Cricetulus griseus: one gene and its partner. The protein of the gene in region 2 binds, or shares a complex with, the protein of the main gene of each other region. Links are inferred from orthologs where the notes say so. Each region holds a gene or a part of one and is shown on either strand. Other genes may lie near its edges. The genes, in order: Stx8 and Vamp2.

Evidence for each region.
Region 1: Vamp2 (region 2) and Stx8 share a complex: the UniProt entries of both Homo sapiens proteins name them as parts of the SNARE core complex. The link is inferred for Cricetulus griseus from reciprocal best matches to the Homo sapiens genes VAMP2 and STX8.

Annotation. Positions count from the first base shown.
Region 1 is NC_048600.1:81,823,357-81,839,565, reverse strand, and holds the start of Stx8 (syntaxin-8), read right to left. Parts: upstream 7,540-16,209; 5' UTR 7,422-7,539; coding exon 7,405-7,421; intron 4,628-7,404; coding exon 4,528-4,627; intron 1-4,527. Other genes in the region: Cfap52 (cilia- and flagella-associated protein 52), read left to right, coding at 8,322-8,397. UniProt on the Homo sapiens protein: Vesicle trafficking protein that functions in the early secretory pathway, possibly by mediating retrograde transport from cis-Golgi membranes to the ER.
Region 2 is NC_048600.1:82,954,076-82,970,102, reverse strand, and holds Vamp2 (vesicle-associated membrane protein 2), read right to left. Parts: upstream 8,432-16,027; 5' UTR 8,289-8,431; coding exon 8,287-8,288; intron 7,787-8,286; coding exon 7,666-7,786; intron 7,214-7,665; coding exon 7,055-7,213; intron 6,964-7,054; coding exon 6,912-6,963; intron 6,300-6,911; coding exon 6,283-6,299; 3' UTR 5,449-6,282; coding exon of another isoform or gene 5,438-5,448; 3' UTR 4,589-5,437; downstream 1-4,588. UniProt on the Homo sapiens protein: Involved in the targeting and/or fusion of transport vesicles to their target membrane. Major SNARE protein of synaptic vesicles which mediates fusion of synaptic vesicles to release neurotransmitters.

The DNA of each region.
Region 1 (16,209 bases), about 1.1 Mb from region 2:
ATAGGCAATAGATAAACCCACTTTACCAGCAGCCAAAAGGAAAAATGGATAGAATCCCACACATAATCTCGCCACCATCACCAAATCAAAAACAAACAAGAATAACAATAATCAATGGTCATTAATATCCATCAACATTAATGGTCTTCACTCCCCTATAAAAAGACACAGATTAGCAGAATGGATAAGAAGATAGAATCCTTCCTTCTGCTGCATACAAGAAACATACCTCAGCTTCAAAGACAGATGGTACCTAAGAATTAAAGGTTGGGGAAAGATCTTCCAATCAAATGGATCCAAAAAACAATCGGGGGTAGCAATCCTAATATCCAACAAATTGGACTTTAAACTAAAATCAGTTAAAAGAGATGAAGAAGGTCACATCCTACTCATCACAGGAGAAATCTATCAGGATGAAGTCTCAATTTTGAACTTTTATGCCCCAAATACAAAGGCATCCACGTTTGTAAAAGAAACATTACTAAAACTCAAATCACACATAAAACCGCACACACTTATAGTGGGAGATTTCAACACCCCACTCTCACCACTGGACAGGAACACCAGACAGAAACTTAACAAAGAAACAAAAGAACTAATAGAAGTTATGGCGCAATTGGGCTTAACAGATATCTATAGAACATTCCACCCAAATACAAAACAATTTACCTTCTTCTCAGCGACACATGGAACCTTCTCTAAAATCAACCACATACTTGGCAACATAGCAAACCTCAACAGGTACAAAAATATTGAAATAATCCCCTGTGTCTTATGGGACCACCATGCCTTAAAATTATAATTCAACAACAACACGAACGACAGACAACCTACAAACTCATGGAAATTAAGTAACACCCAATTGCACAATTCATGGGTCCAGGAAGAAATAAAAAAAGAAATTAAAGATTTCCTAGAATTCAATGAGAATGTGGATACAACATACCCAAACCTATGGGATACTTTGAAAGCAGTGCTAAGAGGAAAGTTCATAGAGCTAAATGCCCACATGAAGAAACAGGAGAATAATCACACTAGAGAATTAACAGCACAATTGAAAGCTTTAGAAAACAAAGAAGCCAATACACCCTGGAGGAGCAGACGCCAGGAAATAATCAAATTGAGGGCTGAAATAAATAAAATGGAAACTAGGAGAACAATACAAAGAATCAATATAACAAAAAGTTGGTTCTTTGAGAAAATCAACAAGATAGACAAACCTTTATCCAAACTTACCAAACAACAAAGAGTGAACATGCAAATTAATAAAATCAGGAATGAAAAGGGGGACATAACAACAGACACAGAGGAAATCCAGAGAATCATCAGGTCATACTTTGAAAACCTATATTCCTCAAAATTTGAAAATCTAAAGGAAATGGACAATTTTCTGGACAGATTTCACTTGCCAAAATTAAATCAAGAACAGATAAGCAACTTAAATAGACCCATAACCCCTAATGAAATTGAAGCAGTCATTAGAAGTCTCCCAACCAAAAAAAGCCCAGGGCCAGATGGCTTCAGTGCAGAATTCTACCAGAAATTCAAAGTACAGCTAATATCAATTCTCCTCAAAGTATTCCACACAATAGAAGCAGAAGGGTCATTACCAAACTCTTTTTATGAGGCTTCAATAACCTTGATACCCAAGCCACACAAAGACACAACTAAGAAAGAGAACTACAGAACAATATCCCTCATGAACATTGATGCAAAAATTCTCAAAAAAATATTGGCAAATTGAATCCAAGAACACATCAGAGAAATCATCCATCCAAGTAAGGTTCATCCCAGGTATGCAAGGATGGTTCAACATACGAAAATCCATCAATGGTAATCCACCATATAAACAGACTGAGGAAAAAAAAATCACATGATCATCTCACTAGATGCCAAAAAAGCCTTTGACAAAATCCAACACCCCTTCATGATAAAGGTCCTGGAGAAATTAGGGATAACAGGAACATACCTCAACATAATAAAAGCAATATACAGCAAGCCAACAGCCAATATCAAGTTAAATGGAGAGAAACTCAATGCAATTCCTCTAAAATCAGGAACAAGACAAGGCTGTCCACTCTCTACCTCTTCAATATTATCCTTGAAGTTCTAGCTAGAGCAATAAGACAACAAAAGGAGATCAAGGGAATACAAATCGGAAAGGAAAAAGTCAAACTCTCACTATTTGCAGATGATATGATAGTCTACATAAGTGACCCGAAAAACTCTACCAGGGAACTCCTACCGCTGATAAACACCTTCAGCAAAGTGGCAGGATACAAGATTAACTTAAAAAAATCTGTAGCCCTACTATATACGGATGACACATTGGTGGAGAAAGAAATCAGAGAAGCATTACCCTTTACAATTGCCACAAACAACATAAAATACATTGGAGTAACACTAACCAAAAAAGTGAAAGACCTGTACCATAAGAATTTTGAGTCTCTAAAGAAAGAAATTAAAGAAGATACCAAAAAATGGAAAGATCTCCCATGATCTTGGATAGGCAGGATCAACATAGTAAAAATGGCAATCTTGCCAAAAGCAATCTACAGATTCAATGCAATCCCCATCAAAATCCCAACACAATTCTTCACAGACCTTGAAAGAACAATTCTCGACTTTATATGGAGAAACAAAAGACCCAGGATAGCCAAAACAACTCTGTACAATAGAGGAACTTCTGGAGGCATCATCTGACTTCAAGCTCTATTACAGAGCTATAGTCCTGAAAACAGCTTGTTATTGGCACAAAAATAGACAGACCAATGGATTAGAATTGAAAACCCTAATATTAACCCACACACCTACGAACACCTGATTTTTGACAAACAATCCAAAGTTATACGCTGGAACAAAGAGAACATCTTCAACAAATGGTTCTGGCATAACTGGTTGCAAACATGTAGAAGACTGCAGTTAGACCCAAGCCTATCGCCTTGCATAAAACTTAAGTCAAAATGGACAAAGACCTCAACATAAACCCAGCCACACTGAACCTATTAGAAGACAAAGTGGGAAATACCCTTGAATTAATTGGTACAGGAGACTGCTTCCTGAACATAACACCAGTAGCACAGACACTGAGATCAACAATTAATAAATGGGACCTCCTGAAACTGAGAAGCTTCTGTAAGGCAAAGGACACAGTCAGCAAGACAAAACCATATTCACCAACCCCACATCTGACAGAGGGCTGATCTCCAAAATACACAAAGAACTCACGAAGCTAGTCTCCAAAACACCAAACAATCCAATTAAAAAATGGGGTACAGAACTAAATAGATAATTCTCAATAGAGGAATCTAAAACGGCTGAAAGACATATAAGAAAGTTCAACATCCTTAGCCATCAGGGAAATGAAAATCAAAACAACTCTGAGATACCATCTTAATCCTCTCAGAATGGCTAAAATCAAAAACACCAATGACAGTTTATGCTGGGGAGGATGTGGAGAAAGAGGAACACTCCTCCACTGCTGGTGGGAGTGCCAACTTGTGCAGCCCCTTTGGAAATCAGTATGGCGACTCCTCAAGAAAATGGGAATGAGTCTACCACAAGATCCAGCAATTCCACTCCTAGGCATATACCCAAAAGAAGCACATTCATACAACAAAGACTTCTGTTCAACGATGTTCATAGCAGCACTATCTGTAATAGCCAGAAACCCCTAGATGCCTAGATGCCCCTCAACCGAAGAATGGATGGAGAAAATGTGGTACACTTACACAATGGAGTACTACTCAGCAGAAAAAAACAATGGAATCTTGAAATTTGCAGGAAAATGGATGGAACTCGAAGAAACCATTCTGAACGAGGTAACCCAATCACAAAAAGACAAACATGACATGTACTCACTCATAAGTGGATTTTAGACATAGAGTAAGGGATTACCAGCCTACAATCCACACTGCCAGAGAAACTAGTAAACAAGGAAAACCCTAAAAGAGACAAACTTTGTCCCCTGGAGAAGGGGAAAGGGTCACCATCCCCTGAGCAAATTGAGAACATGGGAAGAGGGGGGAGGAAGATACGAGAGTGAAAAGGGAAGAAAAGGAAGGATGCAGAGGTCATGAGGAAGCAGAAAGGTTGAGTCAGGTATAGATTAGAAGAAAGGACATATGACAAGTAGGATTTTAGTTGGGGGGGGGGTGGTAGGGGAGGAAGGGAGGGAGAAGGTAACTGGGATTGTCTTGTAATTCAATCTTGTTTGTAATTCAAATATATAAAAAATAAAAAACTAAAACAAAAAAATTCAGTGAATGAAATATAGACTATTTTATATTTTAGGGGACCAGTCATAATTTATCAAATTGGGGGAAAAGAAAATTAGATACAACATACCAAAACACACTCCTGGGGTACTCGTGCATATGTACACCACACACACACACACACACACACACACACACACACACACACACACACACACACACACACACACACACACACAGAGCATGACCCCGATCTAGATATGTTTTCAGACGTCTAAGGTCAGAACATTAACTCTTCTAAGGGTATTACCTTAGGTGTCTTTTCACCTCTTCTTTCACACTGATTTCGTTGTTGAATTTTCTCAGCAATTTCTTGGGCAATTTGACAAGTAGAATCATATGTGGAGAACCTGAAATCAAAGTCATACAAAGAGGAAGAGGTTTAAAGTTCTTTAAATAAAGTCCTGGTTGGGTGTGGTGGTGACACAGGCCTTTAATGCCAGCACTGCAGAGGCAGAGGCAGGCAGAGTTCTGTGAGTTCAAGGCCAGCCTGGTCTACACACACACACACACACACACACACAGAGAGAGAGAGAGAGAGAGAGAGAGAGAGAGAGAGAGAGAGAGAGAGAGAGAGAGAGAAGAAAAGAAAATGTTGTGCCAGGTTCAAGGAGTCCCATACCAATCCCAGGAGTAGACACTGATGCAAAAGCAAAAGGTTTGTTTTTATTGTTCAAGCTGGCCAGCTTGGATCTCACTCCATGGTGGGGAAATGAGACGCCAACAAGCCAAAGAGAGAAGCTTTTAAAGGAGCAGACCGTAAGGTTGAAGTAACTTAACGAAACGTCTCAAACTTTTTTAAAAAGTGAATAAAGGCATAGCTCAGTGCACGAGACTCAATCACCAGCATCAGAAAGAAGAAAAGTGTTTAACTTGGGCTGGGGATGTGGCTCCAGGTCCTACAGAGAGAACTTTGTTGTGAACTTCACAAGCACTTCAGAGACAGTGTCACCCCTAACCCTAGACTCACATATACATCAATATGCATCATTCAGTATATTCAGGTATAGGTATGTGTATGAAAAAGAGCAGGTGGTTAATATATATTATATATGTTTTTTTGGGGGGGGTGTTGGAGGCAGGATTTCTTTGTGGCTTTGGAGGCTGTCCTGGAACTAGCTCTTGTAGACTAGGCTGGTCTCAAACTCACACAGATCTGCCTGCCTCTGCCTCCTGAGTGCTGGGATATAAGGTGTTTGCCACCACCACCTGGCTTATATATAAAATTTTTTAAAAAGAGAGGCAATAAGGAAAATAGTCCTAGCCCCGGATTCCCCACATTTTACTTGTTTGCCTTCACACTATCAGCTATGAAGACAGGAGCTTAGTCTTGCTCTGTAAGGGCAGATCAAACATATAAAATCCATAACACAATTCCATCAAATACGAGACCTAAATTAAGTACCTCTGGAGTTAGGATGGGAGACATTACTGATGTCAGAGGTGCTCAGATTGGCTGGGCTGCAAGAGGACATCTTGGGCTGACTTCCAGACTAAAGCAGATTTCCATACTGGAAGGAGGGGTGAAATCTAAACACCATGGAAAGCACAAGCACAGAAGAATTGAAGAAAGCATGCCTGACCAAGTACTGGCCCTGTTAGCAGGGTACATTTAAATAGGACAGATTAGCAGAGGTCAGTTTCTACAGAACTTGGCACAGTAGTCTAATGAGATCTGACTCAGGGGAATTTTACCCCAAGACACTGAAGCATTAGAACTCTTTTACTGTTAGTCTCAATTGTTTTACTCAGTGGCTTTCTCATTTGACAGTTGAAAGCTTTCTTGTGTTGCTGGTGACCAAACTCAAAGCCTTGCATGTAGTAAGTTCTACCACTGAGAAAAACTGAAATATATGAACATTCAGATGATGTACTGATATGCATGTAAAAATCATTTTTAAATACTACTTAATGATATGGAGACACGCTTCCTGTTGTGTAAAATACAAGCAGGATATAGATTCAAACAATAAAAGTCTTCAAAAGAAGTTAACATTGGTTCTTTCCAAATGATGAAGATGCTATTTATTTTCTTTCCTGCAGATACTCAGTAGTCTCCAAATTTTCTACCAGGGGTGTACACAATTGTTGAAACTTGTGTGTGGGGGGGAGTAAGAAGTGTTAAATTCAGCAATTTCCTGGGCATGGTGGCTGCATGTAATCGAACCACTTAGACTGAAGCAAGAGGATCAGGAATTTAAGGTCAGACTGGGCTCTCTGAGACAATGGAAACAAAGCACACAAACAAATGAAAGCCCAAGAAAATTTCAGCAACTAGCCCAAATATCTCAAATCCCAGGTAACTCTAACTCTGACCTTGGGATCCACTCTCCTAATACTTAAAATTGTCTGCCATCAAACAATTATAAACTGTACCAGAAACACCCACATAAGGCATATCCTCCAACAAGAACTTTATAGAAATACAATGTTATAAATTATTAAACAGGAAGGTCAAGACTGTATAGCAATGTGTTCCTTGTGTGAACACATTTTCTTCATTCTTTCCTTGGGGCTTCATTGCTGAATAAATGGCCCTTATCGGGTGCTGACTTTTGCACTAGTTCTTGCTGACGTTAAGTCTTCATGATACTGACACAGGAAAGGGTAAACTGCCTATCACAAGTGCAAACTTCCCTCCCAGATTGCTACAAGTCTTATTGTGAAGAGCCCATTACACCTATGCCCAGCTAACTACTAACTGGCTGGGGACCATGGAGTCTGAACCTCAGTTTCTTCCCTTTCTGGGGATTAATGGGTGAAGGCAGAGACATCCCACCAAAAGGTTATTTCTACTTCACTTTTACAGGACCCCAGGGGAGTCTACACACGCAGTCATCCACAGGCAGGTTAGGCGAGAAGCCCCCACAGAAGGCGGGGGAAAATATCGATTCTGCTCAAGTCCCAGCTCCCCCAGGTCACGGTGTCCCCCTCCGACCACCGAGTTAGCGCCGGGGAGGCGGGATGTGGTTGGGTCCCCAAAACAGGGAAAGGATCCTCACCCGCTTTGCTCACCCCTAAAAGCTGACAGCCTCAAGTTCAACGATGGCCAGGGTTTATGCGAATCCCTGGGAGCCACTTCCACCCCAAGTCCTACGGCAAACTACTGCCAACACCAGCAACTCACCAGGGGTCCGGGGCCATGGTGCAGTCTCCGCCTGCAGCTGGGACACTTCCTGCTCACAGCAGCTGACTACGGCGGCCCGCGCGGCTCATTCCCCGCAGTTCGGAAGGTGCGCGACCCGAGCCCAGCGGACAGCACAGAAAACATATTTTAGGGGCCTCAAAACCACACCAACCAAAGCTCACCCCTGGGAGACAGTGGATTGCAACAATCGATTTTTAGTTAATTCGTACGAACTGCTGGACGCAAGGAAAATGGTTAAATTGTTGAGCAGAATCAAAACCTTTTCCCAGGGATGGAAGCGCTTCAGACTCCGGCTCTCGTAGTTCTTCGCATTTTTTTTTTTTCTTTTTTTCTGATTCAAAAACAACAGAGCAAGCCGGCTGTGATACCTCGCGCCTGAATTTGCCGTGCTTGGAAGGTTGAAGCCGGAAATATTCATACAAGCAACGTTCATAGTGATACATACATGAAAATAGTTGCATACTGTACTTAAATTTTTAAAGTGATCTTTTCAAAAAGAATTCTTTTACAAGGAGGTATCAATTCCGTGTTTTGTTTTGTTTTGTTTTTTAATAGCAGCCTACGCATCAGAGGCAATTCTCTGTGTTCAATTACTTTTAATAGTTACCATAAGAGGCTTAATTTTATAGTTAAGACAAAAGTCAGAGTTTACACGGGAGACGAGGGAATTCATTCTGCATATTCAGTATTCACCTAACACCTAAATTTCTAGAATGAGTGAAAAAAATAATAAGGAAGCCCTCCCTACATTTACAAAAAGGTAAATAAAGTCGAACTCAGTGGGCTGGATTTCTGCTCCAGCGTAAACCTAGCACGCATGCGTGCGCCAGTTACCATAACGACCAAAAGACGCTGCAGCCAGGAGTTGAGGAATCAATGAGTTGAAATTCTCCAAGATGGAAGAACAAAATTTACCCGAAACCGAGACCGACGTAGCCGAACTGGAGCTTGAGGCTGTGATCGGCTTCAATGGTGAGGCCTGGAGCATCCATAATACCCCAGGGACAAGTGAGACACTGACTTGGTGGCACCTGAGAGGCCGTGGGGACAGTGGCAAGAGCCTAGCCAGGCATCACCCACGGTGATGAAGGATCTTAGCCTCATTCCCGAGCCTCAGAAATTGGAATGTGCCTAACTCAGTCTCTCTCTCTCTCTCTCTCTCTCTCTCTCTCTCTCTCTCTCTCTCTCTCTCTCTCTCTCTCTCTCTCTCTCTCATACGCGCACACACACGCACCCCTGGGAGCAGTCCTTGGCTCTGAATATTCCCCCAACCCCCACCCCCATGCATCCCCGGGTAACACCCAACCTGGGGCAAACAAACAAACAAACAAACAAACAAAAAAACACCTTTCCACACCCCTTGCTGATCTACAGTTGAGAAAGGCCTTAGGTGGAACTGCTCTAGGGGTGCTCTGTGTCCTCTGTCCCAAGTAAGGACTCTCAAAGGTTTAAAAGACAGGGATGGGAGGGAAGAGGACGTAAAGGGAGACCGCCAAGGGAGAGTCCTTGTTGATTCTGGAGAGGCCTGGCCGCTGTCATTACTTGTGGCTGTCATAAACAATGCCAGAAATTGCTGTGATGGGGGAGGGGTCGTGTTTCGGGAGTCGCGGAATCAAATTTTGGGGGTAAAACCAACTTTTTAAAAATCGAATTGTGATGCCTGGAAGCTTTACAGTTAGTTGTAAGAATGTAGTGCAGAACGATTACTGAGTAAACTTTTAAGCACTTTGGACCTTAGTTCCTGAGTCTTCATTGTACTCTACAGCTCTAACTGAAAGCCAGCATTTCCTGTATCTGAGCCAGCATGGTCTTTAGAGATGGATGGAGATTACTGATAAGGAGTGACCCCTAGTGAACTGCAAAAACATCTGGTGAGCCAGTGCAAAGACAGGCAGAGATCTGAAATGGAATTCTTGCTAACATAATGCAGTTGTTAGAAAGAAAATGGCACCCAAAGGGAAGTAGCACTAATGAAGGTTTGGCCTTGTTGGAGGAAATATGCCACTATGGAGGCCGATTTGAGGTCTCATGTATGTTCAAGCCAAACCTAGTGAGTCAGACAGACCACTTCCTGTTGCCTGCAAGACGTAGGACTCTCAGCTATTTCTCCAGCACCATGTCTGTCTGCACGCCACCATGTCACACCACGATGATAATGGACTAAACCTCTGAAAATGTAGGCCACCCCAATTAAATGTTTTTTCCTTTATAAGAATTGCCGTGGTCATGGTATTCCGTCACAGCAATAGAATTCCTAAGACACATACTAACTAGCTATCAGAAGAATGAATTGGAAAGGTTTATCAAAATTTGGAAGAAAGGTTGATTTTTTTTTCTTTTTTTTTTTTTTTTTTTTACTTTGTATGAGTGCTTTATGTTTTACTTTCGGGGGCCAGAAAACAGTATCAGATCCCCTGGGACTAGAGTTACAGACCAGTGTGAGGCTCATGTGACTGCTAGAGATCAAACACCCGAGTCCTTTGGAAAAGAAGCCATTGTTTTTAACTGCTGAGCCAACTCTCCAGTGTTTATTGGGTGGGGGATGGGCATGTAAGTGCGGATACCCATGAAGGCCAGAAGAGGGCATGAGATCCCATGAAGGTGGACTTACAGGTGGTTGTGAGTATCCTGGGAAGTGAGTTCAGGTTCTCTGCAAGAGCAGTATGCACGCTTCATTTTTTGCTGAGACTTTCTTAAGCCCATGGCAGAAAGCATTTTACTGAAGACTTGAAGGAAGTCAAGGAAAGAGTGACCTCTTTGAATTTAAATAGTCCTTAAAATAGGATAGGACAATCAGTGACTAAGGATTGGGGTGCAGATGATTCCAAATAGCCAGAATAGGGGAGGAATGTGGGGAAATAGACAGCATAGGGCTTGCTTAATGAATAGCAAATAGTTTGCTTGAAGCTTTAGGACAAGAAACAGAACCTGGGCTCAGAGATCAGAGGCCTTAAACACTAGGTAATGGAGCTTAGAGTTTCCATGGAACTAATCTGAAATTGAAAGCAAGCTGGAAAGGGTGGTGGACATCTTTAATCCCAGCACATTAAAGGCATGTGCCACCAATGCCTGGTGTAATCTATGGCTTCTTTCACACTGTTCTAGCAGAGATGAGTAGCAACAACAGAGACTGTATGGTTCAAAGAGTCTAAAATATTTATTTCCTGGCTCTCTATAAAAAGCTAAACTCAGCAGGGCAGTTGTGGCTCACACCTTTAATACCAGCACTCAGGAGGCTGAGGCAGGCGATCTCTGTGAGTTAGACATCACCCTGGTCTACAGAGTGAGTTCCAGGACATTCTCCAAAGCCACAGAGAAACTGTGAGGAGGCTGTGACCAGGCAGGAAAAGGCCTGGCTGAAGAAAGATTAAAAGAAAGGGAATAAGGCCCACTACCCAGAGAAAATGTGTGGTGTGTGGCAAAGTGTGATTAGCAAGATTTAGCAAGCTATTTAAGGGACCAGCTCAGAACTGGGAATTTTAGAGTGTACCACGACTCTACGTCCTGGAGCTCTCCTCCACTAACCTGAAACAACCAGTCTATTAAACGGAGAGCCGCCCTTTCTGAAACCCAACAGCACGACCTCAAGAGACTGGGCAGCCTGAATTCAGAGGAGCCTAAGTCCCAGCCCCAAACTTGAGGCCACTGCAGGAGAGGTAACCCCCTGCTATGAGCCTATTGTCTGTGGTTCTTAGGATTGTTTGCTTATGCGTGTGTGTGTGTGTGTGTGTGTGTGTGTGTGTGTGTGTGTGTGTGTGTGTTACTTTGACCATAAGTGTGAAGTAAAACTTATATACTCAGAACCAACTCGCTTAGTTTGTCATTCCTCCCAGGTCAAAACCTGGTAAAGGCTGGAGACAGAAACCCTGTCTCAAAAAAACCAAAAAGCTAAACTCCTAAAATAGATAATGGTAATAGTAATGATGCTGATAATAATAATAAAATGATAAATAAATAATAATAATAATAAATAAAACCTAAAAGTGTTATTAAAAGTGACATCACTTTTTATTTCTCACATTGGCAAAGGCTAAATATATGGATTATGCTTACAAAGGTGAGACTAAGGAGTTTTCATTTGCAATTGCTAGAAGTATAAATTGCACCACCTTTAGAAAGAGGAGTTGGCTTCATTTGTAAAGTGATTGCAGCACAGCCATAAGGACCCTGAGTTTGGGTCTTCAGCAGTCACATAAAAAGCTGAGCACAGTGGTGGATATCTGAAACCCTAGGACTAGAAGGCTCAGGGAGGACAGACAGAGTCAGTCCAACCAATCAGTATGTTCTAGGTTCACTGAGGGCCCCTATCCTAAAAAATAAGGTGGAGAGCCAATGGAAAAAGACAATCTGTCTTCAACCTCAGGCCTGCCTACACACACACACACACACACACACACACACACACACACAAATTTCCCCTCTTGAAGGAGCCATGCACTGTGGGCCTAAAATCTTGCCTTGACTGCCCAGTATTGTGATCATGATAGTTTAGTTTCTATGGTATGGCCTTGCTTTCTCATTACTACTGCCCACTTTTCACATATATTGATTGTGTTTCCTGAAATTATTTTTCTTCTCTATTTAGCCAGAGTTGACTCTCTTTGTTTGCAACCAAGAATTTTTTACAATTTTATTTATTTATTTATTTTGTTAGACCCCCCAGAAAACTCAGGTATCCAGGGTCCCAGGCTACGTTCACGGTCACCCCAATCACCAGGCAGATTCGAGAGCTTGCTGCAAACTGCATGAGGCTTTATTGTAATTTAACGAGCTAACCCCATGTTAGCTCGGGTCTTTCACCCACCTGCCATGGTGGATGGCTCACAAAAGACAACTCCTAGGGCCTCCCAAGAGATCTTGTAGGGCAGCGTAAAGGGAGTGTCTAGGGGTACGCAGAGGCTCACTATTTGTGTGCCTCCAGCCTTGGAGGGCTTGCCCTATGTTGATTGGTCAACTGGTTGTTATGGCCCATAGGCCCTCCCAGGGTGGTTGCTATGTTCTCTACGTCATTGCTGTGAGCTTGTCCGCAAAGCACACCCAGAGTCATAAAGCATAGCACCACCAGCTAACTTCTGATTGGTTCCTTGTCACGAAGCAGGCATCTGACTTTCTAGTGACTAACTAACTTCTGATTGGTTCCTTGTCACAAGGCAGGCATCTGACCTCTAAGTGACCAAGGCAAGTTTATGGCAAGCACGTGTTCAGCTGTTATGGCTGCCGAAAGGGGAGCTGGTCCCATCAATTTGGTTTTTTCAAGACAGGGTTTCTCTGTATTGCTTTTGTAAGACCCTCAGAAAGCTGAGGCTTCCGGAATCTTAGTCCAGGACGGCGGCCACCCCAAACACAGAATGCAGGCGAAAGCTTGATGCAAACTGCACGAGGCTTTATTGTAATTTAACGAGCTAACCCCATGTTAGCTCGGGTCTTTCACCCACCCGCCATGGCGGACAGCTAGAAAAGACGGCTTGAAGCTGCTGCGCATAGATCTTTATAGGGCAGCGTAAGGGGATCTTTATAGGGCAGTCTAGGGGTACGCACAGGCTCACGATTGGTGTGCCTCCAGGCTTGGAGGGCTTGCCCTGTGTTGATTGGTCAACTGGTTGTTATGGCCCATAGGCCCTCCCAGGGTGGTTGCTATGCTCTCTACATCATTGCTGTGCGCTTGTCCGTAAAGCACACCCAGGGTCATAAAGCATAGCGCCACCAGCTAACCTCTGATTGGCTCCTTGTCACAAGACAGGCATCTGACCTCTAAGTGACTAAGGTTCCTTGTCACGAGACAGGCATCTGACCTCTAAGTGACCAAGGCAGGTTTATGGCAAGCACGTGTTCGGCTGTTATGGCTGCCAAAAGGGAAGCTGGTTCCTTCACTTTGGAGCCTGTCCTGGAACTCGCTCTGCAGACCAGGCTGGCCTCGAACTTTTGCCTGCCTCTGCCTCCCAAGTGCTCCCAAGGCATGTGCCACCAATGTCTGGCTGCAAGAATCTTAACTATGTGTAGTTTGAAAGAAAATGGCTCCCATAGGCCCACAGGGAGTGGCCCTATTAGGAGGTGTGGCATTATTGGAGTGGCCTTGTTGGAGGGAGTGTGTCACTGGGGTGGGCTTTGAGGTCTCAGATGCTCAATCTAGGCCCAGTATGTCTTAGTCTCTTCCTACTGATGTCAGATCCGTATTTAGAACGCTCAGCTACCTCTCTAGCACTACTGTTCTATTGCAATGCTTCCCACCGTGGTGACAATGGACTAAACCTCTGAACTCTAAGCAGCCCTCATTAAATGTTTTCCTTTATATGTTTGCGGTGGTCATGGTGTCTCTACACAGTCATAGAAGCCTCAACTTAGACACTATGTAACTGAAGACATATGCACCTGTCTTAGTTACTGTTCAGTTGCTGTTAAGAGATACTGTGAACAAGGCAACTTACAAAAGTAAGCATTTAACTGGGGGCTTGTGCATAGTTTCAGAGGGTGAGTCCATGACCATTGTGGTGGAGAGAATGGCAGGAGACAGGCAGGCATAGTGCAGAAGCAGTAGCTAAGAGCTTATCCACAAGCAGTAGGCAGAGAGAGAGAGAGAGAGAGAGAGAGAGAGAGACGAGACAGTGTTCCTGGCATGTGCTTGTGAACCTCAAAGCCTATCCCTCAAGTGATACATCTTCAACAAGGCCAGTCTCCTAAATGTTACAAAAACTGTTACACAAACTAGGGACCAAGCATCCAAACATGAGCCTATAGGGCCATTCTCATTCAAACCACTGCATTCCACTCTTTGGCCCCAATAGACTTGGTAGCCATATCATAGTGCAAATGCATTTTGTGTAACTCCAAAAGTCTCCACAGTCTTTCACAGTCTCAACACTGTTTAAAGTCTGTTCTGGTCCTCAAGGCAATGTCTTAACTGTGACCCTCTGTAGCAAATTACATAGGCCAGCATTCAATGACACAGACTATACATTACTGTTCCAAAGGGGAGTAAAGGGAGCATGGCAAGGAAATATGAAAGCAAGATTGAAACCTAGGAAGACTAACTCCAAATTCTGTAATTCTATGTCTGCTGTCCAAGGACTTTTAGGATCTCCAACTCCTTCCAGCTTTGCTAACTGCAACTCTCTCTCTCTCTCTCTCTCTCTCTCTCTCTCTCTCTCTCTCTCTCTCTCGGACTGTTTCCTGATTGCATTTATCCTTAGCAGGCATACCATGGCTCTGGCATCTCTTAACATCTTGGGGTCTCCAATGCAATCCAGGTGTCACTTTCATGGCTTTAAAAAGTGGCTTTTCTGAGCCACCATGCAAGTACTCCCCTGCCACACACCTGGCCTCAGGGGTTTTGCTTAGCCACAGAGGAAGATTTCACAGCCCCTTTATCAGTTCATACTGATAAAGCCAGAAACAGGTGGCTGAAGCTGCTTAGCATTACAGCCTGTTAGGGATAGAAAGTGGTCCCTCCCTGCATTACATTTTCGGATGTTTTGACTTGTTGATGCTTTCCTTTGTTACTCAAGCTTTCCTTTTTGCGAGTTGCAGATTATCTGGGTAAGGTATGAGCCTTAAGGTACCACTCCCTTCATCCCACTTAGCATCAGGTCTGTTTTTAAACTTATCTCCTTGAGCACAAGATTTGACTCCAACACTACTTTTCCTGGTGTTTTTTTTTTTTTTCTCCTCACATGTACATTTTTTAATTTCTTTTTGCCCCACTTCCTCTTTTTCATTATAGATCTGTATAAGAGTGATCACCAATAACCATATGACATAGTTGTCTTGAAATCTCCTAGACATTCGTCCAGAGCCTCTGGAAGATTTTTAGGACAAGGGCAAAAAAGAGCATCATTTTTGCCAAAATGTCATAAAAGTGATCTCTAGCTTATTTGCTAATATTTCTTACCTCTGTTACCTCTTGCTTCCATAGTCCACATTGCACTCAGCACTACTGTCTTCCAAGCTCCTTTGAGGATGGCCCATTAAGCCATGCTTACAGCATTCATCCTCTGCCCTAATACAAAGTCCCAAAGTCCACATTCCACTAACAAGCAGCATGAACAGGCCTGCCACAGCAATATGACATTGCCTGGTACTAACTTCTAGCTTTGTTACTGTTCTATTGCTATGAAGAGACATTATGACCAAGGCAACTTGTATAAGAAAGGATTTAATTGGGGGCTTGCATACAGTTTCAGAAGGTGAATCCATGACTATTATGGGAGGAGAAATGGCAGGAGGCAGGCTGGCATGGTACTGGCACAGTCCCTGAGGTTTGACATCTTATTGACAAACAAGAGACAGAAAGAGAAAGAGACTGTGCCTGGTGTGGGATTTTGAAACCTTGAAGCTCAGCCTCTCCAACAAGGCCACATCCCTCCAACAAGGTTACACCCCTCCAACAAGGTTACACCCCTCCAACAAGGTCACACCTCCTAGTCCTTCCTAAACAGTTCCACCAATGGAAAATAAACATTCAAATATTTGAGTTTATGGAGATCATTCTAATTCAAACCACCACACACCAGACCTCAACACCAACCCCAACACTATCCCTAATCCCCAAAACAATCCAATCCCCAAAGCAACCCCTACTCACATTAACTCCAACTCCAACTATAGCACTAACACCAGCCTCAACCCTAAACCCAACCTAACCCTGACCAATGCTTACTAATTTTCAAGGTCCTTTGTCCAATTCATATTTTTACTCATTTTTGTTGTTGTTGGGAAATGTACATTTTTCTTATTGCTTTGTAGAATTTCTTTGTATATTAATTGAAAGCCCCTTATAATCTCTGTATA
Region 2 (16,027 bases):
GGAATGTGGGGCAGGGAGGCTGGAGAGGCAGCGGTTTGGGAGGCAGCCAGCCCCAGAGGGCGGCGGCCAGCGCACTAGGGAACATCGTGTTCTCTTGGCTGGTGGCCCAGGACATGCACTCAGACTTGGCGCCTCCCCCAACCCAACGACAGCCGTCCTGTACAAAAGCCAGGGATTCCTGGAGAGACGGTTAGGAGAAAGGGGTCCCCCTTCCCTACCCCCATGCCTGGCTCTCTTTTCCGGACTTGGCGTTTGTGGGCCCCCAGCTGGTTCTTACAGCTCCTGGCGTTGGCTTTTCCCTTTCACCAAACTGTACACAGCTGCTGGCCAGGTACCAAAGAGCCACCGCGGGTAAATCGGAGGCCCAGGTTCAGAGAGGGAACGCGCACCTTTGCTCCTTCCCAGAGGCCCCCTTCAGAGGCGGAATTTCTAGTTACTATTACAACACAGAATGGGGGTGGGTTGGGGAGAATGCATTTAGAATAAGGAAGTCAAACTGGGACAGTGCAAGTAGCCTCAGTCTGGAGCCCAGATCTTGGGAGAGGAATACAGGGGAGGAATGATGGAATTTGGGTTGGTGCCTGCAGACCAGAAAAATCAGGAAGAGGGAAAAGAGGAGTCATCAAAACTTGCAGAAAAACAGAAGATGAGGGTTAGCTCTATCACTATTGCTTAGTTACCTTATAGTTTGTGTTTTAAATGACCCAAGCGTGGGCTTCGTATTTTATGTATACTGTTTTTTTAAGCCCCAAAACAACTGAATGAAGGTAGCTATCACTCTTATTTCATGAGGGATAACTAAGACTTAGTAGTCACTAAACTTGCCTTAATTGTCTGCTTCATAAACATGTTCTCAGCTTCTTAATAATGGAGCCCAAGGTTCAAGCTCTGATGATGTCTTGTCCTGGCTTCTTACCCTCAGGGACCCTCTGAAAGTGTTACTAACCCTCTACTCTGCATTCCAGCACCGTCAAACCAGGACTTCTCACATATTTCCCTAGTTCTAAGTTTGGTGCCTAGAATACAAGCTTCATCCAGTTCCTTCTTCCTTTCCGCATGATCTAAAGGCATTGTTTGTACTCCACACACACCACCACCGTTCATTTTTTTTACTATGCTCAAAGGCCTTGAAATCATCCGAGAAGTCTCCAGCCACTATTACAGGAACCTGTAGGAACCTCACTTCCTCCCTCTCCCACCTCAACCAGGCCTGTCTAGACAGCAGAGCAGCCTTTTGGTGCCTCCTCACCTCTGGCAAGTCGAGAAGAGTGGGCAAGCCGGTATATAGAAACCCTCTACCCTATTCTCCCTTTCAGAATCCAATAAATCGCTAGCTCATTTCTGTTTACAAGCATGTACCTGAGACCCCAACGCTATCCTTTCCACGTGAAAAAGTAACCCATGGTCGTGATGAGATAGCTTCCGAGTCACACAAATCAGCACACCAACCTTTCTCAGAATACCATCCCACATTCCCACCTGCCCTACCAGGGCCTTTCTCCAGGCTCAGACTCTGCCTCTCCAAGTATTTAGGGAGCCTACCCAAACCTTAACCAACTCTCAGGCGTCCTATCGCAGGCCCTTCAGCTCCCTCGGGTGGCTGAGGGCTTCTGAGCACTCTAGGCTAGGCAATAGGGTCTAGGGACCCTAGAGAGCTGAGAGATGTATGCTAGTAACTCCCATCCATGTTCCCCTAGAGCTGAGTTTGCAGTCCACAACCGTCAAGCACTCCTATTGCAACCATCGCGCATTTGCATGATCACGCACACACACACACACCACGCCACTGACACCCCTTTTGGCCGAGCAATCCTCCCGGGAAAAACCCATTTCGACCGCCCCAGAGTAGGGGGCTACTCACAGTTCCGATCGCACGCAGAATCCAAATTTCTTCACTACTTGGGAAGCTACTCCACAGGCTCCTCCAGGCCTTCCCACTGCCCATTCTGTCACGCCTCCCAAGCTTATTGGCTTACAGGCGCCAACCCATGCCCCGCGCCGCGTGCAGCCGACAAGCCCCTGCAAAGCCACCATTGGCACTTCAGGGCGCAGTCATCTTACCATTGGGCAACATGACAACCGGTAGTGATAGAGCCACGTGAGGGAGGGGGCGCCCCAGCGCGTTGATTGGACATCTGACCGGAAGCCACACCTCTCGCCCACTCCCAAAGCTTTTATTGGCTGTGGAAACAGCCCCGCCCTGCCTAAATCGGTGACGCAAATGCCAGCCCTGCCCTAAAAACTTTCTCATAGGCTGAGAGGTCTCGGAGATGTAGGGAACACGTGCGGGCCGGCTCACGCGGCAACTTGTTTACCGAGAAGCTGGGGATTTTCCTTGACGACACTTACCCAAGACTGTGGAGTCTGCGCAGGCCTGCCGAGCGACTTGTACGCAGGCGTAGATGTGACAGGCTATGGCGTAGTGGGGATACTTAGTAGAGACCCTGCCAAGACAAGAGGCTCCTGGTGCCCGAGTTTTGTGTCTCCGATTATCCCCAAAGCTTAAATCTGAACATAAGAAGAGGTCTTTAGATTGCATGACGATGATAGTGAAAATGACAGTCGCCTCCTGTTTTCTGTATCAGACGCTTCTTGCAGACTCCTGATGACTACTCATAACCTCACAGAGACTGAGATGCAGGGGTTACATAATCTGTCAGAATTCCCATGTTAACATGTTGATTTAAAAGCTCTGACACCGTGAAGGTAGGTCGGTGTCTTAGGCCTATGGAAACCTTAAGCCTAGAAGTAATTTCAGGGATTAAATGCAAAAAGCCTAACGTATTTAAACTCTCCCATAAAGATAGAAGTTACGGTGGAGTATTGCTAAATACAAGACACCTGGGCACCTTAGAACCTCTAAAATAATGTCCAATGAAAGGGCCTGAAAAAAAATTTTTTTTTGGTTTTTTTTGTTTGTTTGTTTTTTCAAGACAGGGTTTCTCTGTGGCTTTTGGAGGCTGACCTGGAACTAGCTCTTGTAGACCAGGCTGGTCTCGAACTCACAGAGATCCACCTGCCTCTGCCTCCCGAGTGCTGGGATTAAAGGGGTGCACCACCAACACTGGTGGGGAAAAAAAATCTATTTTTTAAAGTACCTCTAAACCGGGCAGTGGTGGCACATGCCTTTAATCCCAGCACTTGGGAGGCAAAGGCAGGCAAATCTCTGAGTTCAAGGCCAGCTTGGTCTACAGAGCAAGTTCCATGACAGCCAGGGGCTACACAGAAAAACCTTGTCTTGAAAAACCAATTTAAAAGAAAAAGTACTTCTAATAGTTCTTATTTCTTGGTCAGGTTTGTTATAGCACATGCCTTTAATCGAAGCTCGAGGGAGGCAGAGAGGCACTTGAAATCAAGGGCAGCCTGGTCTAATAATGAGTTCCAGGACAGTCAGAGCTTCATAGTTGAGACCCTGTCTGCCCCCCCCCCAAAAAAAAAAACCCAAATGTTATTTTATTTTATTTAGACAGGGTCTCATTATGTTGATCAGGCTGGCCTCAAACTCAGAAATCAGCCTGCCTCTGCCTCCTGCATGGTTGATTAAAGGCGTGCACCACACATGGCCTTCTAGCGGTGGTTTTTTTGTTTTGTTTTTTCAAGACAGGGTTTCTCTGTGGCTTTTGGAGGCTGTCCTGGAACTAGCTCTTGTAGACCAGGCTGGTCTTGAACTCACAGAGATCCACCTGCCTCTGCCTCCCGAGTGCTGGGATTAAAGGCGTGCGCCACCAACGGTCAGCCTAGTGGTGGTTCTTAGCCATTCAATTCTCTCTCTCTAGGTTCAACTGCCCTGAAGAGGCAAGAGTCACCATCATCCACCAAGTACCCACACACAGGCAGTGACTAGTCCCTCATATCCTGAATATAGAGAACAACCAGAAACACTGCCTCTTTCCTATACAGCTACATCTCTTTGATGCCCCTAAAGTGTATACATGGAGACAGTGCTTTGAGAGTTCAAGAGAGGGGCTAAAGTATCAATCCCACAGGCTGTAGAGATGGCTCAGAGGTTAAGAGCACTGACTGCCCTTCCAGAGGTCCTGAGTTCAGTTCCCAGCAACCACACGGTGGCTCACAACATCTGTAATGAGACCTGGTGCCCTCTTCTGGCCAGCAGGCCTATATATAGACAGAACAGAAGAACAGTGTATACATAATAAATAAATCTTAAAACAAAATCCCATAAGAGTGCAAGGGAGGTATGCCATTTTATGCCACAGCTGGCTTTGTCTCATAAGGGTGACCCTTTCATGCATTCATCAAGCCATCTACAGAAGTAGCCCAGGAGTGGATGGCTATGAAAGAGCCTAAGGGGTAACCAGAGCAAATTTTAAGAGATAAAGGAATTCAATGGTAGCAGCATACTCCAGTTCACCTGGCTTAGATCCCATGTTCTTTAGTGATACTTTCAATTCTTGTCTCCTGGTGCCCCACATGGCCACTTTGTGAATCACACTTTGCAAGGGTCCAATTGGGGTCAGGGCGTGCAGCAACAGGCCAGCTCCTCCCAGTGAATCTTTTCAACCACCCCACTATAACTGAAGATTCAATACTCTTACTACTGGTTAAGAAAGAGATTGTAGACACCACCTGGTTACTCATTACACGTTTATTGTACATTTTCACAATCTGGATGCGCCACAGAATCGGGGGCATGGGGTAGGGGAAGAAGGAAGGCAGGGGACACTGGGATAATATTGGGGGTCTAGAACACAAGCACCCCCACCCCCAGCATCTCTCCTACCCTTTCACACCACAGTTTAGATCTCCTTGGTTCCCCTCCACACAGAAAACCTTTTGGGGGAAGACTCTGGGGATACTCCCCACCCCAGTGGCAGGTTAAGGAGCTGTATACCCTCAGACCCCTAAAACTGTGCCATTTAAAAAGATCAGATCCTTCCTCTGTCATTTCACCCAAAAAGGGAATAGCTTGCACTCTCTCTCTCTCTCTCCCCCTCTCTCTCTGGGCTCAACAGCCCTGGAGAAAGGCCAGGATCCCCATCATCCAGCAAGTCCCATACACATATTGGCAGTGACTAATACCCCCGCCCTGAATACAGGGGGGCAGTCAAAGGAGCTGGGCAGTGATGGGGGCAACACCCCTCCCCAGATTGGGGAGGAAAGTTTTCAGTCCGACCTCTAGCAAGATGAGGCCAGAGGTTTCAGGCAGGAATTGGGGGGATTCTATTTTGTCCTACTCCTCCCCAAGGCAGTGATGACACACACACACTGGAGCCACCCCTCCTCAAAGAATCAGATTGTGGTCAATCCCCAATTCTCCTGGTGGGAGGAGGAGGCAAATCAGGCAGATGGGAGGGAGGGAGACCCCCTGGGAATGTCAGTTGAGTGCCCCACATGAAAACTGGGGAGCAGGAATGTAGGGAGAGACTCCGAGTGGCAGAATTATTGGTCCATCATGACACACTGAACTCCAAGACACTTACACACCGGCTGGGGGGAGGGAGAGGAGGGTACAACAGGTTTGGAAAATGGGGTAAAGGAGGTAAACTAGACTAGAGGGGCTGGGAGGGGGCAATTCTGGGGCCCAGAGCCTGGTTCCCCAAAAGCCCAGGCTCCCCACCACCTGCAGGTAATGTCGTGCAAATGAAGTGTGATTAGAGGACCAATGGAGACTAACTCTTCAGAAAAGAAAGGAAAAACAGAAGAGTAAAGAGTGGTGGAACAGAAAGGAAACTAAAAGGACATTATGCAAGTGATAAGCTAATTAATATATTGGAAGCTCCCAGAAAACCTTGGGATTCTGGGATTCTTAGGACCAAGTGGGACCAGTCTCAGAGCTTTCCAAGGGATTCAAAGATGCAACCTAGGGAAGCCTGGACAGGTAGGAGTGTTTGTTTGTTTCTGTGGAGTTTGCTTTTTGTCTTGGGAGGGTCAGGAATTGTTTAGGGAAGCTAGGGGAAGGGTCAGTTAAATCCAAGGGAAGAAAAGGGGCTATTGCATAGCAGATGCAAATGAAGGGACTTAGGGCTATCAGGAGAAGAGGAAAAGGGACAGAGGATGAGAGAGAGAGAGGTGAGGGGAACCTCAGGAAGGGGTGTTAAGGACAACCGGAAAAAATCTTCTAGTAATAAAACTACAAACAGACCAAATATATATAATATTATATATGTATAAATAACAGCTGGCTATTTACAGGGGGCACACACACGGACACACACACACACGGATCCAAGGGAGGGGGGCTGAAAGATATGGCTGAGAGGTGGAGGAACGGCTGGGGGTGGGAGAGAGGCCCTTCTTAGGCAGGGCAGACTCCTCAGGGATTTAAGTGCTGAAGTAAACTGTGGAGAGAGGGTAAGAGGAGGACGAGGGAGAGGGGTAGAAAGAGAAAGAAAGCAGCGTGTCAGGCCTGGCCCTGTTCCAAACCTCCCCACTCCCCCACTGTCTGACATCCCTTCCCCTCTCTGTCTCATTTCTTCATCTATATAGCAAAGGGACTTGATAAGTGGGTATTAAGATCCTGTAAACTCCATGATAGGACAAAGGGGCACAAAACTTTTAATCTACTGGGCATGTGACTACAAATGCTCAAATAGTGAAATAGTTGGTTTCCTGGTGGTGTCCGAGCCCCTCAACCCTTACTGTCTCCTGCTCCCCAGTTCTAGTAGCCCAGACTGGGCTCTGAGGCCCAAATGGTTCTTAGTAGAGTGCCGGGGGTCCCACCCAGTATTCCTATTTTCAAAATCTTAACAGAAATTATCCAGAACTAGGCAAAGTAAGGCTAGACAAGAGCCAAGTGCTTTGGCTCTTGATGAATCAGAATTGCCAATAGCAGCAAAATGTGTTTTTGTTGAAGAGTAAAAACTAGGTTAATGACCTTCAAAACCCAGAATCCACAGGGAAAGCCTCTACCTCTCCCGGGAAAGGGCCCTGGCCACTCCTGCCCCACTCACCGATGATGATGATGAGGATGATGGCGCAAATCACTCCCAAGATTATCATCATCTAGGAGTGAGAGGGAGGGTCCATGAGACCAATGGTGACACCCCAGTCACCCACTGGCCCTCCTACCTGTCCCCATCTCCGTCCCCCTTACCTTGAGGTTTTTCCACCAATATTTGCGCTTGAGCTTGGCTGCACTTGTTTCAAACTGGGAGGCCCCTGCCTGGAGGGCATCTGCACGATCATCCAGCTCGGACAGCTTCTGGTCCCGCTCCAGGACCTTGTCCACATTCACCCTCATGATGTCCACCACCTGGGGGAGGGGTCCACGAGGCAGGGGGTGTGCCAAGGCACGCCTCAAGGAGGGCACTTCTTGAACACGTGCCCATGTGCCACACATGGAACATGCACCCCGATGTTTCCAGGCTAACATGCCAAGGACATACAAAGAACATGCCTAGCACACCTGGGGACATGCAAGGAGCACACATCAGGGGCATGCTGCAGCCATACACCTCAGCTACCACAGCAACACCCTCATCTTTGACCAGAGCGCACCTGCCCCAGCTGGCACACCCCAAGCTAGCACAACTGATTATCACCCCACAGCCCTTCCAAGTGCATGCTGACAGGGAAACGGAGCTGGGACAAGGCAGGGCTCTGACCCAAAACCCACAAGCGTGAAAACTGTCATCACCTTCAAGCCAAGATGGGCTCCCACACCTATTTGCCAGTCCCATCATCTTACACTTTTGACACACTCACCTCATCCACCTGGGCCTGGGTCTGCTGCAGTCTCCTGTTACTGGTAAGATTTGGAGGGGGTGCAGGGGGGCCACCCTCGCCGGCCGGGGCGGCAGGCGGGACGGTGGCAGCGGTAGCCGACCTACGGAGGAGAAACGGATTAAGATTCAGGGCCTTTGGGCCCTGCGGCCGGGGCTCCACCCATCCACCTGTCCATCCATAGTCCCTCCAGTCCTCCCTTGCGGGAGGAAAGCCACCCGATGGGAAACCCAGCCATTCTACGGCCCCGCTGCGGTTGAGCTGCGTGACCTTGAGAGACCCTCCTTATGCCTCAATTTCCCCGCCGGTTAAAGGAAAGCGACCTCAGAGATGCTGCCCGGGGTCGACCCGAAATGACTGACAGCCATGGTGGCTGGGGCGGGGCGGGTAGACGCTGGGTCCGCTCCCTCCTGCGGCCATCGCCCGTGCCAGACCGCCCGGGACCGGTTCCGGGCGTCCAAGCGCAGTCACGGACACCAGCCCGGTCCGCGGCACGAGAGGCGCGGGCGGGACCCCCGTGTTTCCCGGCCCACTCCTCGGGGTGGCGGCCCGCGCGGGGCAGAAGGTAGAGGGTGGCGAGTGGCGGGCGGGCGGCCGACTTACATGGCGGGGGCAGCGGGCAGAGACTTGGCAGAGGCAGTGATGGCGGCGGCGGCGGCGGCGGCGGCGGCGCGCGGCGGCTCGCACTGGCTCCGACTGGCGCTGGCTGCCCGGGACTGGAAGATGGCGGCCGCACGTCACCCGCATCCGGGCACTGCGGCGGGGGCGGGGCGCGGCAGGCGACACGTCGCTAGCGGACCGCGGGGCGGGGCGCTGCAGGGGCTGGGGTCGTCTAGTCGGCTCTGTCGACCCTACGATGTGGGCCTGGCCCGCAAGCCCACCGCCATCCCCCAAGGCATCTGCCACCTGCCTCTTTTGGTACCCACAACCGAGACCCACACCTCACCCCTAAACTACACCCTCCCTCATCCCTGAAGCTGATACACCGGTCCTTACCTCACACAGCCTAAGGTCTCGCCCTACAACTGGTCCCAACACCTGGTGACCCGCCCTTAGCTCCTGGAAAGGGTGGATTTCCCTCAGAGTGGAAAATGAGAAGCGGCCAGGGCAATACTGACAACTGGAATCCTGACGCTGGGGTTGGGGAGTTGTGAGAACTGACCTCACCCATCATCATCACCCTGCAACTGAATGGCTCAAGGGAGGTCTCGGGCCTCTGATTTCCTAGCAGGGTATGAGCAAAAGGAGTAACAGAAGACAACCCCCCCGACCCCCCCCACACACACGCATACACACACACACACACACACACACACACACACACACACACACATGCACAAACATACACACACTAAGAACTGTGAAAGCTGCCCCTCCTCACAGATAAAGTTCAGACCAGGTGTCCTTGGAGGGGGCCCCACAAAGATGAGACAAACTAAAGACTCCAGGAAGGGCAAAGGCTGCCTGGAGGTGCTGTGCCTCCTGGTAAGCGCAGGCTGGTCCCCGACTGGGGTCAACTGCCCAGCCTTGACAGAACCAACTGAATACATCACACATGTAGACAGTCAATAAATATTTGCTCAATGGCTTGATCTAGACAATAGAATAGGAGATTATCTTAGACCTGGTCCATCCCTGACTGCTCCATTTTAAGTACGCTAAACAGCCACAGCAGCTGCACACACTCCCATCCTACATCTAGAGATAGGACCAGGGAGCCAGCTGTCTATTTAGCAAGCCTCCGGGGTGAAGGAGGCACTTTAGGGGAGGACTAGTGACTCTGAGGTGGGAGTATTTATTACATCCCCAAAAGAGCCTTAATCTCAAAGACAGGCAGGGTCTGGCGTCCTTCCTCCCACTCCAGGGCCTCCGGGGTGTGAGATCCTCCTGTGCTGCAGCAGTGCCCCACCCCCTCTCAGCAGCCGCCCCAGGACCGGTTGTGTCGTGAGAGGTGTTATTTCCCAGCTGTCTGGGGGAGGTGAATGAGCAGGGGAGTGTGTGCTGGGGCCGGATTCGCTCTTGGCTGCCTCCCTCTCCCAGGAGAAGCCATGAGCCTGCTCTTCGTGAGGCTGAGCTGGTGAGAAGAGCCGCTTCGGTGGGGGGGTCTCAGATCAGCCGTGAGGCTCTAGTTTTCTGTCCCTGAGACCCCCTTTCTAATCAGAGAACAAAGATGCCAAATTCCATTATTTCAAGTTTAAATGTTTTAGTGTCTAGATAGGAAACATCCTCGAGAGTGGGAAAAGAGCAACTGTAAGCAGAGCCCCCCACACAGCCCAGCTCTGCCTCGACTGGAAAGGAAACAGTAAGATCTCAGACTCTGGTTTAGGGACGATACTCATGTTGTCTAGCCAATTGCAAAGGGCAGAGGTTATGGAAGAGACAAGAGTCACAGACAAACCTGGGGAGGTTAGGCCTAGTCATATCCCTGGGAAAGTTGTTCTTCCCAGGGGATTCTGGGGACAGCAATAGCAGAGTTAACAGTGGAAAGGACCCAGTAGGACTCAGAGAGAGAACTGTCACTGTACAGCCCAGCCCAGCCCATCTCCACTGCGGTGTTAAGAAATTCTAAATTTAGATCAATGCTGGGGGTGGGAGGAGGCTGCGGTGGAACGACCCGGTTCACCTGGAAATGTGTAGAGAATGTTTTCTGCAAACAGTACGACTGAGACTCAGACTTGAGCCGAAGCACAGGCAGTATTTGGATAACGGAGAGCCTTAATCTCAAAGGGTCTCGTCTACATTTGCCTGCTTCAGGGGATTGACAGTTGAGTTGCTAGGCCCAGTTCTTGAAGCTCTTTTTATGCTTAGTGGTGCATGTTCATAACCCCTGCGCTTGACGGTAAAGTAGGAGAATTCAGAGTTTAAGATGGGTCTGCCAAATGAGATACTGTCTCAAAACAAGCGAAAGACTGGGGCTTGGAGAGATGATGGTTCAGTGGTTAAGCTGCCACGTGGTGGTGGTGGTGGCACATGCCTTTAACCCCAGAATTCCGAAGGCAGATCTCTCTGAGTTCAAGACCAGCCTGCCTCTGCCTCCCAAGTCCTGGGATTAAAGGCATGGACCAACACCGCCTGGCCCAAGGTTTACTCCTAAGAAGCTCCTTCAGGGTTCTGATGTAGGCCATACAGAGGTCACACTTTAATAAAAGCTTGCTTCCATTGTCATCCTCTTCACAGCGTTTTAAGTTGGGGCTGAAGGGGGCTGGATCATTCCCACACTGACTCATGAACTCCTTCCATCCTCATGAGTCAAACCTTGAGAAACCAGTGATTAATTTCTGGGACCTTATTGTTTGTCCTCTCAATACAGCTCTCATCAACTTTTAGATTGTTTCCAATTTCTTGCTATTACAAGCTGTACCCTTATGAATGTTGATAGCATTTGACACACTGATACATTATTGACATATTTGGGCAGAGCTAAGCTTAGAGCATTGCTTCGATGGGGTCTTTTTTTGATTTGGTTTGGTTTCATGTTGACTTTTCCTCACAGACAGGAAGGTTTGGTTTGATTCCTTGCTTGTGTTTGCAATGTTGGGTGTTGAAATCAGGGTCTTGTGCATTTTAAGAAAAAGCTCTACTATAGGATGTTGCCTCCCAGCCCTATTGGCATCCCTTCGGCAAGTCTTTGTAGTAAGGATAACGTATACACATAAAAGTCACACCTTGTGGCTGGAGAAGAGGTGCTTGCTGATCCTCCAGAGGAGCTCTGTTCCCAGCAACCACAGTAGGTGGATCACAACTACCTACAACTACAGCTCCAGGGGATGAAGCCCTCTTCTAGAAAATATACCCACACAAATAATAAAAGTATTATCTTGTGGTGTTTTTTGATTTAGGTTTTTTTTTTTTTTCCTTTCTGTTGTTGTTTTGGTTTTTGAAATAGGGTTTCTCTATATAACAGCCCTGGCTGCCTTGGAACTTACTTATATGGACCAGGCTGGCTTTGAACTCACAGAGATCTGCTTGCCACTGCCTTCTGAGTCCTGGGATTAAAACACCACACCACCACTCCTAGCTATCTTGTTTGCTTTCAAAATTGCCTTATTTAGCCGGGTGGTGGTGGCACACGCCTTTAATCCCAGCACTTGGGTGATAGAGGCAGGTGGATCTCTGAGAGTTGGAGACCAGCTTTGTCTACAAGAGCTAGTTCCAGGACAGCCTCCAACGCCACAGAGAACTCCCCCCAAAATTGTATTATTTATTGGGAAATCATATGTGGTCATCAAAGAACAACTTAAAGGCTTTTCTTTCCTTCCACCTTATTCTGTGGCTGAACCCAGGTCATCAAGCTTGGCAGCAGGTCCTGGTGAATCATGTCACTGGACCCATTTCTTTGTTGAGACATGGTCTCACTGTATAGTTCAGGCTGGTCTACTGAATTTTGGAATTACAAGCCTATATCATGGCACCTAGTTGTTTTAAATGGTATCTGTTTCATCTGTGTAGTTTCCCTACCCAAATACAAAGCACCATATCAGGAGTGAAGAGTACTAAGTAAGACTCAAAATAAATAAATAAATAAATAAGTAGGGAAAGTGGTGGTGCCGATCTTTAACCCCAGCACTCAAGGGGAAGGCAGGCAGATCTCATTTTGTTGTGCCAAGTTCTCAGAGCCCAGAGACTAACCCAAGGAGTTGACACTCTGATGCAAAAGCAAAAGGTTTCTTTTTATTTCAAGCTGGCCAGCTAGGATCTCACTGCATGTCAGGCAAATGAGCCAAAAAGAGAAGCTTTTAAAGGGGCAGACCATAAGGTTGAAGGCCACAAATTACAGAGTTTCCATGGTTACTTAAGGTCATACAAAGTACAGAGTTAGTCAGTAACTATACATTTTAAGGGAGATACATTTGACTGAGATAAGACAGGGCATGAGCTTGTAGGATTGCAGGGTCACAGGGTCTGTCAGTTATCCCCTGGGTTGGGGGATCTTTATGGCCAGTAATTAGCAAAGGAATGTTAACAGGAGTGGTGGACAGTTAGCTCCCCTTCTCTGAGAGCATGGGATCAGGCGACAGCCATGGCACTCCTGATTTAAGGAGTTAAATTTTCCTTTTCCATTAGACGTTTCCTTTTCAGGGCTTAAGTTTTTAAACTTTTATTAATTTTAATTTTTGGTACCTCAATTTGAGTCCCAGGCCATCCAGGGCTACATAGTGAGACCCTGTCTTTAAGGAAAATAAAGTTGTCAGGAGGCAGAGACTGGTGGATCCCTTTGAGCTGGAGGCCAGCATGGTCTACAGAGTTCTAGGACAGTCAGAGAGCTGTTACACAGAGAAATCCTGTCTCAAAAAAAAAAAGAAAGAAAGAAAGAAAGAAAGAAAGAAAGAAAGAAAGAAAGAAGGCAGGTGGATCTCTGAGAGTTGGAGACCAGCTTTGTCTACAAGAGCTAGTTGTAGGAAGGAAGGAAGGAAGGAACGAAGGAACGAAGGAACGAAGGAACGAAGGAAGGAAGAAGAGAATGTTTTGTTTTGTTTTGAGTGATAAAAATAGTTTATTAAGAAAAAAAAAAACACATGCACTCCTTGAGGGTGAAATTGAGTTAGTGACCTGGACAGACAGACACTCAAATGTCATTTTATTTATTTATTTATTTATTGAGACAGGGTTTCTCTGTGTAACAGGCCTTGGCTGGTCTGGAACTCACTCTGTAGACCAGGCTAGCTTTGAACTCACAGAAATCCTCCTGCCTCTGCCTCCTGAGTGCTGGGATTAAAGATGTGTGTCACCACCACTGAACTTATTTTATTTCTTATTACAATTTATTTATTGTATTTGTTGGGGGCGGGGGGGGGGTGTCAGAAAACAGCTTGTTGGAAGTTGGTTTTCTCCTTCTACCGTGTTGATACCAGGGATTAAACAAAGGCTGTCAGGTTTGGCAGCGTGCAGTTTACAAGCTGAACCAGCTAACCAGTCCTGTGCTTTTATTTTTTTAAAGTTTCTTAGGACCTGGTGTGGTGGTATGGCCTTTTATCCCAACACTGGGGAGGTAGAGACAGTTGGACCCTGTCTCAAAATAAAATAAAAAGTTATTTAGTGCTGGAATGTAGATCAGTGGTAGAGTGCTTGACTAGTATGTTCAAGGGTTTGAGCCCCTATCACCTCAAAAACTTTTTGCTGGTCATAGAGGCACATGCCTGTAATCCTAATACTTAAGAGTCTCAGAAAGAAAGTATGCAGGAGTTTGACGCCAGCCAGGCTATACAGGTAGACCTTGTCCCCAAAACAAATTAATGAATACATAAGTTTTACTCAGAGTTTCAGAACTTCAGAAGAGCACATAGGTCAAAAGACGGCTTCTGTTCTTGAGTCCCGGGTGCCCCATTCCCAACAACTGACACCCCAGTGCCTGGGCCTCCTTCCAGACATAGTCTTTAATCTTTTCGTCCTAATGTAAGCAATCTATATAGACTGTTTTGCTCTGCACTACGATTTTCCATTTAACATAATTTGGAGATTTTCTGTTATATGTAGGGTACAATATTCACATTTTTTATGATTTGTAGTACCCTGCCGTATGGCTATAACATGATTTAATTGATCCACTATACACAGTCATTTAGGTCATTGTTAACCTTAAGCCAACCTAAGCAAAGATTTTTTTTTTTCAAGACAGGGTTTCTCTGTGTAGCTTTGGAGCCTATCCTGGCACTTGCTCTGTTCGAACTCAGAGATCAGCCTGCCTCTGCTGGGATTAAAGGCTTGTGCCACCAATGCCCGGCTCAACCTAAGCAAAGCTACCAAGAACATTCTACACATTCCGATTTTACCTATACGAAAATATGTAGGGTAAATTTCTAAATATGAAAATCCTAGCTCAAAGCCAGGCACAGTAGAACACACTTTAATCCCGGTACTCAGGTAGCAGAGGCAGATGGATCTCTTGAGTTTGAGGCCAGTCCAGTCTACAGAGGTAGTTCCAGGACAGCCAGGGCTACACAGTGAAACCTTTTCTGGGAAAACCAAAAAGAAAAGAAAGGAAAAAAAAAAAAAGGAAATCAAACCATAGATGGAGATGGGCCTGGTGGGAGACCTAATCCAGGTACTCAGGAGGGTGAGGCAGGAGAATCACAAGTGTCAGGGCTGTCTAGACTACAGAGTAAAGGTCAGCCTGGGAAACCCAACATATCAAACTGAAAAGAGTAAAGAAATAGAGATGCAGGCTGGAGAGATGGCTCAGAGGTTAAGAGCACCGACTGGTCTTCCAGAGGTCCTGAGTTCAATTCCCAGCAACCACAGGTGGCTCACAGCCATCCGTTATGAGATCTGGTGCCCTCTTCTGGTGTGCAGATATACATGGAAGCAGAATGTTGTATACATAATAAATAAATAAAATCTTAAAAAAAAAAAAAAGAAATAGAGATGCAATCCATTAGTAGAGTGCCTGCCTAGCACCACTGGGTTTAGATTCAACCCTAGTGCTGGAAAAATAAATCCCAAACCCAAAGGTTCTTGTGATTTTGATGGATACTGCCAAGTTGCTCTCCAGGGGTGTGCTACCAAGTTTTCTTCCCACCCAGCAAACAGGTAAGGCCTGTTTACCCACATCTCCTAGATGCTATGAAACCTTTTAGGCGTGGTTGAGAGTATCTGCTGCTTTCCTGGAGGACCCAAGCTTGGCTCCCAGTCCCCAGTCTCTATTCAGCAGCTCACAACTTTTAACTCCAGCTCCAGAAGACTCAGCACCCTCTCCTGGTCTCCTCAAGCATCCGCACACACATCATACACACCCAGACATAGACATACACATAAGTAAAAATAAATCTTAAAAATAAACATTTTTTTGTTTTGTTTTGGGTTGGGTTTTTTGTTTGTTTTGTTTTGAGACAGGGTTTCTCTGTAGCTCTGGAGTCTGTCCTGGAACTTGTTCTGTAGACCAGGCTGGCCTCGAACTCACAGAGATCCTCCTGCGGCTGCCTCTGCTGGGATTAAAGGAGTGCACCACCACCGCCCAGCCTCAGCCATAAATAAACATATTAACTAAACACAGTTTTCATTTCTCATAGGGTGGATGATATGAGACCTTTTCACATGTTTGTTGTGGGTTAGAATATTTGTGAACTATGTAAAGATGTGTTGCATCTGTTTAATTATGTAAGGTGTGTTGCTTTTGTTTATGCTGCATTTGTTTAACTATGTAAAGACAGTGTTGCAGTTTTACCTTGCCTGCCTAAGGCAACTGATTGGTCTAATAAAAAGCAGAATGTGGGGGGGGGGGCCAGAATGGCCAATAGCTAAGCAGAGAAGGGGGATAGGAGGGGCTGGTGAGCAGAGAGAAAAGGGAGCCAGCCAAGGGCCTAGACAGACAGCAAGGGCCCAGACAGACAGCACATAGATGAGATAA